Struthio camelus: one gene and its partners. The protein of the gene in region 1 purifies or fractionates together with the protein of each later gene. This does not show direct contact. Links are inferred from orthologs where the notes say so. Each region holds a gene or a part of one and is shown in the gene's direction. Other genes may lie near its edges.

Region 1 (3,745 bases):
TCCAGGGTCGTGATCCTGCTGTTTGCCCTGCTCCCTCTTCTCAGGATCCTCAACTCCACCATCTCCTGGTCACTGCAGCCACGGCTGCTCCCGACCCTCACATCCCCAACCAGCCCTTCCTTCTTCATAAGTATGACGTACAGCAGAGCACCTCTCCTCGTTGGCTCCTCTGTCACCTCTGCCAGGAAGTTGTCATTGATGCTCCTCAGGAACCTCCTGGATTGCTTGTGCCCTGCTGTGTTGTCCCTCCAGCAGATATTGGGGTGCTTAAAGTCCCCCATGAGGACCAGGGCTTGCGAACATGGGGCTACTTCCAGCTGTCTGTAGAAGGCCTCATCTTCTTCCTGATCAGGCGGCCCATAGCAAACAACCACAACAGCGTTACCCATACTGGCCTGCCCCTTCATCCTCACCCATAAGCTCTCAGTCAGCCCATCACCCACCCCTAGGCAGAGCTCCATACATTCCAGCTGCTCCCTCACATAAAGGGCGACTCCCCCTGCTCTCCTTCCTGGCCTGTCCTTCCTAAAGAGCCTGTATCCATCCGTTGCAGCATTCTAGTCACACAAGCTGCCCTCCCCACAAGTATTTGCCCCCTTCCCACACATGTACCTATGCATGATTTCATCCTGACATATGGGGGTGATGTAACCTGATGCTCGAATGTCTCTGTTAGCATTTGGGTAAATTTAGACATGTGTCAGGTAAGGACAATGCGGCCATCAGATTATGCTGGAGAGAAGCTGAGAAGTGGTATTGCTGATGAAGCACAAAGGAAGCAGAGGCGCTTCCAAAAATTAAAGCAGCCCGGATGGAACGAGAACCATCCAGAAAGCACGAAACCAGAACCCTCTCCGCAAGGCCTTAGAAATCGCCCAAAGCAGACACTGGACATGAAGATCCTTGATTTATCAACCATGGGGGTTGGCACAGGAACAGAAACGGATTCGCTACGGGTTTCAAAGCTGTTCAGCGGGCCAGGACCGCTCAGCAGTTAAGGGAGGAGGCTGAGAAGGCCTCCTCGGCCCAGGCGCGGGCAGCGCGGGCCACACGGCCCCTCGGCCCACTGAGCAGCCGGAGCCAGGCGGCTGCTGGCTCGGCCCCGCTGCCCCGCGGGCAGGGCAGGGTGCCGGCCTGGCCAGGCAGCTCCCCCGCCGCCCGCTCTGAAGTGGCGGCCCCGGGAAGCGCGGGAGGGCGGCGCCGGCCCCGCCCCGAGGCGGGCGCGAAACGGCCGCTGCCAGCGCCGCGGCCGGCGGCCCCGGGGGGCGGGGCCGGGGGCGGGGCGCGGGGAGGGCAGGGCTGTGCGCCTGCGCGCCATCGTCGGCTGAGTGCCGCGTGGGGGAGGGGTGGGCGCCGCCGCCGCCGCCGCCGCCGCCGCCGCCGCCGCCGCCGCCGCCGCCGCCGCCGCCGCCTGCGGGCCGCGGGGGGGGGCGCGGGGCGGGTCCTGCCGCGGAGGAAGCGGCGCGAGCGGCCGCCGCGGGCGCGGAGTCATGAGCGGTGGGGCGGGGACTGGGGGCCGCCGCGGCGTGTGAGGGGTCGGCGGGGCTGGGGGCGGGGGGGGCCCCCTCGCCGCAGAGCGATGGTGCCGGAGCGGCGGGGCGGGGGGCGGCGGCGGCGGGGCCGGCCCCCTTTAGCGCCGGCGGAGGCGGGCGCGGGGCAGCGGCGGCCGCCGCGCCGGGTGCGGGGCCCGCACCGCCATCTCCTCCGCCTCCTGCCGCCGCTGCTGCTGCTCCTGCTGCCCGCCGGCGCCGCGGGCCAGGCCAGCCCCAGCTCCGGCCCGCACGCCGCGGGCCCCCCGCACTGGCCCCCCGCTGGGCCCGGTCCCAGCCTCAGCCTCTACCTGAGCGAGGAGGAGGTGCGCCGGCTGATCGGTGAGTGCGGGCTGGGGCCGCTCCAGGCCCCGGGCGGGGTGGGGGGGCCGCGGCCGGGTGGCAGCCGCCGGGCGGGGGTCGCGGCGGCAGCGCTGCGGGTGGGGGCGCAGGCGGGGCCGGGGTCTGCGAGCCTGGCCTGGCGCTGGTTGTGGGGGCCCGGGAGGGGGTGGGACGGCCGAGGCGTCCAGGAGAGGAGAGGGGTGTCAGGGGGACGGGGGTGGCGGTGGCAGTCCGGGGGCCTGAGAGGGCGTGGGGGGTGCTCAGTGGGACTGGGGTGGGAGGTCTGTGGGGCTGGGGTGGAGGTGGGTGAGCGTGGGGGCTTGGGAGAGGATGGGGTGGGTGTCTGTGGGGCTGGGGTGGAGGTGGGTGAGCGTGGGGGCTTGGGAGAGGATGGGGTGGGTGTCTGTGGGGCTGGGGTGGAGGTGGGTGAACGTGGGGGCTTGGGAGAGGATGGGGTGGGTGTCTGTGGGGCTGGGGTGGAGGTGGGTGAACGTGGGGGCTTGGGAGAGGATGGGGTGGGTGTCTGTGGGGCTGGGGTGGAGGTGGGTGAACGTGGGGGCTTGGGAGAGGATGGGGTGGGTGTCTGTGGGGCTGGGGTGGAGGTGGGTGAACGTGGGGGCTTGGGAGAGGATGGGGTGGGTGTCTGTGGGGCTGGGGTGGAGGTGGGTGAATGTGGGGGCCCAGGAGAGGATGGGGATTGCTTTGTAGGACCAGCGTGGGGGGACTGAGGGGATCATGAGGAAGGCATGGGGGGAATGGAGGAGTCTGAAGGCACTGAAGGGACTCTCTGTGTCCAGCCATGTATATGTGTATGGGATTTTAGGGGAAGAAAAGTGTCCTGTTTTTTTGTTTGTTTATTTTTTTCCTACCGTAATAGTGAGTACTTCTCCAGGTTCAAGTGACTGGGAATATTGTGCTGCAGGAGCAGCGTAAGCCCTAGGAGAGATGAGTTCAGGCCTGTGATTTAATTAGTGAGGGGAGTGACATTCAGAGGGCAGAGAGGAGACCTGGCAATAATTGGGAGCGTGTGTGAAAGGAATCATAATTTCCAGGGAGGCTGATAATTGCTGCGCAAGTATTCAGAGACAGTCCTATGCGGTCTACCACCTGGCCCAGCACAGAAGACTCTCATAGCAGTTTTGCTCTTGGAGAGTCTCTGGTTTAAACAAAGATTTGTTTTCTCTAGACTTTGACTTGCTTAGGATCTTGTTTAGAGTTGATTGCTAGAGTCTCAAAACAAATACGTCAGTATCCCTAGTGATCTGGCCTCTAGTAAGCGTCCTTCTATATCTGTGTAAGCTGGAAACGAAATCTTCTAACAGCACAAGACTTTATTTGCATCAAATAGACAAAATAAAAATGTCTCCAGTTAATCTGATCTCTGTAAGCACATAGCTGACTGAAGTCAGGGGACCCAGAGCGTGAATAACTCTGTAAACGTTTTCTCCCTTATGGCTTGCGCTGGCGATTAGCATTCTATTGTCATCATTTTTACATTGTGTGTGCTTAACTGCCAGATGCTCTATTACAGATGCGGGATTTGAGGGGGAAAAAAAAAGTCTTGCTGTTTAGCTGGGTTTCTAAACAACTAATTAATCTTTGAAATACTGAATAGTAAGGCTTGAACTCTCCTGAGTCTGACGACTGAAATGAGTACGAGTTGAACTTGCTCAGACTTTTGTGGTTCACTAGCATAATTATTAATCATTCAATAGAACCTAAGGAAGACAAGCTTTTTTGTTTTGTGGTCATTTTTGTTTTTAAGTTAAATTGCATCTCTTAATCTCTCTTAAGGGTGGTATTGCTAGTGAGGCTAAAGTCGCTTACCAAAGATGTCCAGAGCTATTCTATGTCATGTAAAGTATATGACTCTT
Region 2 (3,745 bases), on another chromosome or scaffold:
ACTGCTTTTTTTTTTTTTTTTTTTTCCGGGTGGGAAGCTTCTCAGTTGCCATTCAACATTTTAAAGCACAAGCCGCTTTGCCGTGAAAGCGCCTGAGCCACACTTCTCTGAAAGACACAGGAGGGAATACACAATTGCAGATTTCACCCACCGTGGCGGTGCAGATCAGAGGAAACAACTGACTGATATCATTTTATTTGCAAATAGAACTCTGTGCATTTTTTAACCGCGTCGCGGCTCTTTTCCCCTCCCCTTTGCCATTCCGCTTATATGGATGTAATTCAGAATCTGTGTTAATTCACGTGGGGGATCCAGTTACATCTTGTTCCGCTCCGGGTATATTAACGAGAGACCAATAATCGCCTTTGGACAACACAGTCTTGTTGCTAACCTTTGAACTGAAAGGATCAAGTTCAGATCTGGTTACCTGCATTGGGACGGGAAGGAAGAGGCGAGAGAGAGCGAGAAAGAGAGAGAGAGCGAGAGAGAGACTGCAATCTCATTTGTGAATCGCTCTCAGTGCTGCAGATCCAGATTGCTATAACACATGCAGTACAAATGCAGGTAAGGCACACACACAAACTGCGGATGCAAAAACAAACTTGGGACTGTTGTGTATGTTCATATCTACAGCCTTGCAAATTGTGGGCAAACGGCTTCTGCAGTTTCTGTATCGTTGCTTTGTGACTAATGACCTTGCGCAGAGTTGTTAAAAAAATCCTCTCCGGAGAAAGAGGTGAACATTTTAGGCGATCTCTGAAGATGGATTTGGGTGCTTTTCTGCCAACCGAAGGGGATAGTCTATGGACTGCTCTGTAATACACGGGGTTCTTCTCCTATCAGTTGTACAGCTACCGACATTATTGGGATTTTTAATTTTTTTTAATCTTTTTAAATTATTATTAATTTTTTAAAGAACTGCCCATTGCTAAGAGGATTTGGAGTTTTCCCGGACACAAGCCCTTTGAATAAAGCGAATCACATTTTTTTCCTGTGTGTGCAGAGAGGGGGAAGAATAAAGCTAATGCCTTGGTCGTAAACGGCTGAGAGAGAGCGAGAGCGAGAGAGCGAGAGAGAGAGAGAGAGAGAGAGAAAAGAGAGAGTGTGTGAATTGTAGTTAACTCTAGTGTCGAAGAAGACGACCTGGGGGGCTTCAAATCGCACAGTTCTGCTCCTGCTTTTATTGCAAACCTTGCAAAGTGATTACAGTAAAATCAGAGAGGAGGAGGAGGAGAAGGGGGAGGAGGAGGAAAATCCCATCCTATCTGCTGAGATGAATCTTTAAAAAGCAAAATACACTGTCCCGTGAACTGTAAGTATATCGCAACTGGAAGGCAGGGAGAACAGCAGAGGAGCCAACAGCAGGGTTTTGACCACCAATTGCAGCAGCCATGAGACAGTAAGTTTCCAGGAACAGAAGGATTTTATAATTGATCATCCGGACGCCTTTCTGTTGGCTTATCAGGGGAGTTTACTGAGGGGCGGGTGGGACTGAGAGGAGGGGGGTTTTCGGTGCGAAGAAGATGAGGAAGATGCGGACTCTCCTTGGCTTTGTACATTGCTGCTGCTGCTGCTGCTTCTTGCTCCTCCTGCCTCCGCCGCTCTGGGTCAGCCTAGCAGCGGCCAAGCAGCTCCTGAGGTACAGGCTGGCCGAGGAGGGACCCGCCGACATCCGCATCGGCAACGTGGCTTCCGACCTGGGTATCGTGACGGGCTCCGGAGAGGTGACATTCAGCCTGGAATCGGGCTCCGACTACCTCAAGATCGATAACATGACCGGGGAGCTGAGCACCACGGAGCGGCGCATCGACCGCGAGAAGCTGCCGCAGTGCCAGATGATCTTCGACGAGAACGAGTGCTTCCTAGACTTCGAGGTGTCGGTCATCGGCCCCTCGCAGAGCTGGGTGGACCTCTTCGAGGGCCGGGTCATCATCCTGGACATCAACGACAACACCCCTACCTTCCCTTCCCCTGTCCTCACGCTTACCGTGGAGGAGAACCGGCCCGTGGGGACCCTCTACCTGCTTCCCACCGCCACCGACAGGGACTTTGGCCGCAACGGCATCGAGCGCTACGAGCTGCTGCAGGAGCCCGGCGGGGACGGGGGCCGGCGCGGCGGCGGCGGGGGCGGCGGGGGCGGCGGCGGCGGCGGCGGCGGGGGGGCGGCTTCCGTGGCCGCCGAGAGCGCCCTCTACCCCGGCGGCAGCAAGCGGAGGCAGGAGGCGGACGGGGCGGCCCGGAGCAGCGTGTTCGAGCTGCAGGTAGCCGATACCCTCGACGGGGAGAAGCAGCCGCAGCTGATCGTCAAGGGGGCGCTGGACCGGGAGCAGCGGGACTCCTACGAGCTAAGCCTCCGCGTACGGGATGGCGGCGACCCGGCCCGCTCCTCGCAGGCTATCCTGAGGGTGCTGATCACCGACGTGAACGACAACAGCCCCCGCTTCGAGAAGAGCGTCTACGAGGCGGACCTGGCGGAGAACAGCAGTCCCGGGACCCCCATCCTGCAGCTTCGAGCCGCAGACCTGGACGTGGGGGTAAACGGGCAGATCGAGTACGTCTTCGGGGCGGCCACCGAGTCCGTGAGGCGCCTGCTGCGGCTGGACGAGACCTCGGGCTGGCTCAGCGTCTTGCACCGCATCGACCGCGAGGAGGTGAACCAGCTTCGCTTCACCGTCATGGCCCGGGACCGGGGCCAGCCCCCCAAGACAGACAAGGCCACGGTAGTGCTAAACATCCGCGACGAGAACGACAACGTGCCCACCATCGACATCCGTAAAATCGGGCGCATCCCGCTGCGGGACGGGGTGGCCAGCGTGGCCGAGGACGTGCTGGTGGATACTCCTATCGCGTTGGTGCAGGTGTCGGACCGGGACCAGGGCGAGAACGGCGTGGTGACCTGCACCGTGGTGGGAGACGTGCCCTTCCAGCTCAAGCCGGCCAGCGAGGGCGAGGGGGAGCCACAGAACAAGCGCAAGTATTTCCTCCACACTTCGGCCCCTCTGGACTACGAGGCTGTCCGCGACTACAACGTGGTGATCGTGGCTGTGGACTCGGGCAGCCCGAGCTTGTCCAGCAACAACTCTTTGCTGGTGCGGGTCGGGGACACTAATGACAACCCTCCCGTGTTCAGCCAGGCCGTGCTGGAGGTCTCCTTCCCGGAGAACAACTTGCCCGGCGAGAGGGTGGCCACAGTGGTCGCCACGGACGCGGACAGCGGCAAGAACGCCGAGATCACCTACTCCCTGGAGCCCTCGCCCCTTTCCTCGGAGGCACCAGGAGGCATCTTCAGCATCGACCCGGACTCGGGCGACGTGTCGGTGCAGGCGGTGCTGGACCGCGAGCAACGCGACACCTACGAGTTCCAGGTGACGGCCCGGGACAAGGGGGTGCCTTCCCTGCAGGGCTCCACCACCGTGGTGGTGCGGGTGGCAGACCGCAACGACAACGAGCCGCGCTTCATGCAGGACGTGTTCACTTTCTACGTGAAGGAGAACCTGCAGCCCAACAGCCCCGTGGGCATGGTGACCGTGATGGACTTCGACAAGGGCCGCAACGCCGAGCTCAGCCTCTCCATCCAGCCAGGCGAGCACGACCAGGCAGCCGGCATCTTCTCCATCGAGAACGACACCGGCACCATTTACTCCACCGTCTCCTTCGACCGGGAGCAGCAGACCAGCTACACTTTCAAGGTGAAGGCGGTGGACGGAGGCGAGCCGCCGCGCTCTGCCACCGCCACCGTGTCCCT
Region 3 (3,745 bases), on another chromosome or scaffold:
AAGAAACCTGGAGGGTGGGTTCTTTCTTTCTAACATTTGAGATTTATGATATTGAAATTGCTTTTTCCATCCTTTAGCTTTTCAGATGTAAAATGGGAATAACAGGATTGGCTTCCTTCACAGGGATAGCATGCGCACAATGGTCTTAAGAGCGAGCTGCTCAGTGTTACGGTACCAAGGGCCACGTAGGCCCTTAGACAAGCAATTATCCTTTCTCCACGAAGTGGCAACTGCCCTTCCATAAGGGAAAAGACCGGGGGGGGGGGGGAGGAGGTGTGCGAGCAGACTGCAGGTAAAGCCAAGCGGCTCTGCCTTACCTTCTGCAGGGGGCCACGGCCCAGCTGCAGAGGGGCCTATGCTCTGACACGAGGCGTTAGCGATACCCGCGACCAGCCGGAGGACAGCGGGCAACCGGCAGGACAAAGAGCCCCGGCGGCCGGCGCTGCCCGGCGCAGCCGCCGCCGCCCCCACCTCCCAACGGCCGCCGGGCGGGGGAACGCGGCAGCCCCTTCGGGAGGACCCGGCTCCTCCTCCGCAAAGCACCAGCGGTCCCTTGCGGGAAGCTGCCGCCTTCCCTCCGCCGAGGCGGCACCGCCGCCCCTCTCCACCGGGCAGCAGCACCTCCCCGCCGCCGCCCCCGCCTCACGCGGCGCCGCGCAGGCGCGCTGGGAGCCGCCGCGGCTCCGGCGCTTGCGCAGTGGCGGCGGGCGCCCGCGGGGCGCGCTGCCCTGGCTCCGGCGGCGGCGGCAGGCGGCGCTGGTGCGGCCGCGCGCAGCCCGCCCGGCCCGACACAAAGAGGAGGGCGGATGCGGCGGCTGCGGCTTCTGCCCGTCCGCCCGCGGCTCGCCGCCCCCCGGCACCACATGGCGGCGGCGTCGCCGCCCCCGCGGAGCTCCGGCCCGCGCTAGGCCACGGGGAAGCGCATCCCCCCCCTTCTCGCCCGCCCGGTCCCGGCGGTCCGCGGCGCCTCCGGCAGGGGCGGAGCGGGGCCCTGAGCGCCTGGCTGGCTCCCGCCATGCCGCCCGCCGGCCGCCGCTCCTCCTGCCGCCCGCCGCGTCCCCGCCGCCGCCCGCCGCGGCTGCTGCCCGCGCTGCTGCTCCTGGCCGCGCTGGGCGGCGGCGGCGGCGGCGCGCTGCCCCCCGGCTGTAAGTACGACGGGCGCCCCAAGAGCGGCGGCAAGTCGGTGGCGGGCGCTGGCGGCCCCGTGGAGGTGAAGGTGGTTTGCAGCAACCTGGAGCTGGCTCAGGTCCTGCCTGCCGAGGCGCTGCCCAACCGGACGGTCACCCTGTGAGTAGGGGCCGGCGGCGGCGCGGCCTTGGTGCGACGTGGACAGGGGAAGGGAGGGGAGCGGGCAGCCGGCCTGCCCGGACGGTGCCGGCCGTGCCCGCGGGGGGGTTACGTGGGGTCAGCCCCAACGGGAGGCCGCCCGCCTGGCGCGGGTGGGGGGGGGGACGTCCCGGGAAGTGGTTTTTGTGTTGGTTTTGTGTTCTTGTTTAGCCTTCCGGTATAGTAATTTTGAGGCGAAAAGTGATTTGTGGAGGGCTGTGTGAGACGTCCAGCTTTATTACCGTAATGAGCCGTGCCTGCGCCGTAAAAGTAAACAAGCTCGGCGTTACTCACCGGCGCGGCGGTACCGCGGCGCGGTCGGGCCGGGCGGCCGGCGGGGGCGCGCGCGGCCCCGCCCCCTCCCGCCGGCCCCTGCGGGCCAACGGGCGCTCCGGCGGGCGGGCCGCGCTCTGCGGCCGCGTTGCGTCTGCCCGGCGTCGGCCGCCGGGCTGCCCCGCCGCGGGATGTCTCCGCACGTACAGGAGTCAAACAAGTAACCTCCTCCCCCCCACTCGTGTGCCAGACCACCGAGGCGACTTCTGCTCTCTTTTCACACTTTTCACCTCGATCAATCCTGCGAAGTAATTAAGCATGTTGATAAAGACTGCAGTTACTGCGTGGTTAGAGCCTTGGGTGCCCTTTCCCTAAGGTAAGCGGCCGGTCCAGCGGTCCCTAGAACTTGCTGGAGGTTGTTTTTGAGCTTTATTTCAGGAGGAGCTCAGCTTTAGGATACCTTATCTTGGGGCAGTTGTGATGGACCACGTATGAATAGGTCGTGCGGCCATTCGGTGTGTGGTAGGTTAGGTATGTTTGAAGCCTGACAGTGACAAACAACAACTTGTTCATTGCAGTGCATGATACAACAGCTAAGGGGATTTACTTTGTGTCATCCTTAAAAAAAGGTCAATTTACTTTTCCTTAAGAGTAGGTGTGGTTTATTTTATATTTAGTTAATCATAGCCCTTGCATTTAAATAACAGGTTTCAAACCGGATATGTAGCATATTCCAAAGTAAGTTTATTGCTGTTACTTAAACTTCGGCATGTGCGTGTAGACAGACGATTTGGAAGTTGTGACATTAACTGAACACTCTAGCAAAGAAGTTATACAGCAACACTGTTTCTTTTCTTTTCTTTTTTTTTTTTTTTTGTGGATGGCCCCAAAAGTGAAATCCTTCTTCCTTTAGAGAGCCTAAGGTGCCCATACTACTATGGGAAGACACAAGTGCATCCAAGTAGCTTGCAAGAAAAATCGATGAAAATAAGCTGACCTATGGGGTATAGCTTAAACATATTTATCTATTTGTCTGGAAATCACAGGGTGAGAATCTTTTTCTAAGGGTAGAAGTTTACAGCTCTTTTTTGAAACCAAATAATTTGAGTTTAAGGAGCGCCAAATGTCTATACAGTTCTGTCACGACAACAGCAATTTGACTGTTGCGTTTGTGAACTTTGATGCCACCGAAACACCAAATAAAGGCTTCCTTGGCAATTGACAGTGAAGTATGGATGCCAGTCAGCAGCAGATGCACGGACCTAGACCCATGAGAAAAGAGAAAACCAAAAAAATGGGAGGTGATTCAGACTAAAACAGTAATTCTCAGCTTGCAAATGTGCAGGGTTTCAGAGAATATTTTTAAGGGGCATGTGAGAAATGATCAGAAATATTCACGTGTGAAGTTTCCAAAGTAGAAAAGAAAGCAAAAAGTAAAGACAAATGTTTAATCAACAGGCTTATTTAGCCTTTGTTAAACTTACCTAACTCCTAAACAGTGTTTTGCATCTGGTTGATCTAACTATTGAAATATAGTATTATCTGTTACAATTTAGCTTAAAAGTGCATGTTAGACTCTGGGAATTGCTGAAGCTGACTCTATCTTTTGGTTCAAAAAGCTTGGAGCCACAGCTGTGATTTCTGTGGAAGACAAGCAGATATCAAATACCGCAGCCTTGCTCTGAATGGACTTTTGTTTGCAACTGTAGTGAGAGAAGAATTTGGAAGAATGGTTCCTCTTTCATCTTGATTCTTCATACCTCTTCATCATTGAGAGCATACCCACGTGCACTAATTAGTTGCTTTTGCTTTTAGCTGGCCTTTGAAGTTTATGGTAACTTCTGAAACATTTTTCCCTTAAATACATACTGTTAAACTTTCTGATAGACATAGCAAGAAACAGAATGAGATTTTTCATTATGTGTAGAAACTGTCATAATTGTATTGATGCAATTGATGTGAACACACTCTTTGAAATTTGATTTAAATATAAGGTGAAAATTATTAAATGCTTTTTTTTTTTTTCTTTTCCTCTAAGATAACGGACAGAATACCTGTTGTGGTTTGGGATCTTCCATTGCACTCACTTCTGAGACATGACTTCCCATAATGCTGAGATCATTCCTTTACTGAATCAATGTAAACT

Evidence for each region.
Region 2: the proteins of RYK (region 1) and PCDH7 purify together in Homo sapiens (affinity purification with mass spectrometry; 3 studies listed by BioGRID and IntAct, with this or other methods). This does not show direct contact. The link is inferred for Struthio camelus from reciprocal best matches to the Homo sapiens genes RYK and PCDH7.
Region 3: the proteins of RYK (region 1) and ADGRA3 purify together in Homo sapiens (affinity purification with mass spectrometry; 3 studies listed by BioGRID and IntAct, with this or other methods). This does not show direct contact. The link is inferred for Struthio camelus from reciprocal best matches to the Homo sapiens genes RYK and ADGRA3.

Annotation. Positions count from the first base shown.
Region 1 is NC_090950.1:2,897,211-2,900,955, reverse strand, and holds the start of RYK (tyrosine-protein kinase RYK), read left to right. Parts: upstream 1-1,579; coding exon 1,580-1,871; intron 1,872-3,745. UniProt on the Homo sapiens protein: May be a coreceptor along with FZD8 of Wnt proteins, such as WNT1, WNT3, WNT3A and WNT5A. Involved in neuron differentiation, axon guidance, corpus callosum establishment and neurite outgrowth.
Region 2 is NC_090945.1:65,070,261-65,074,005, reverse strand, and holds the start of PCDH7 (protocadherin-7), read left to right. Parts: upstream 1-1,439; 5' UTR 1,440-1,523; coding exon 1,524-3,745.
Region 3 is NC_090945.1:68,050,612-68,054,356, forward strand, and holds the start of ADGRA3 (adhesion G protein-coupled receptor A3), read left to right. Parts: upstream 1-1,015; coding exon 1,016-1,287; intron 1,288-1,690; exon of another isoform or gene 1,691-1,975; intron 1,976-3,745. UniProt on the Homo sapiens protein: Orphan receptor that may have a role in planar cell polarity pathway.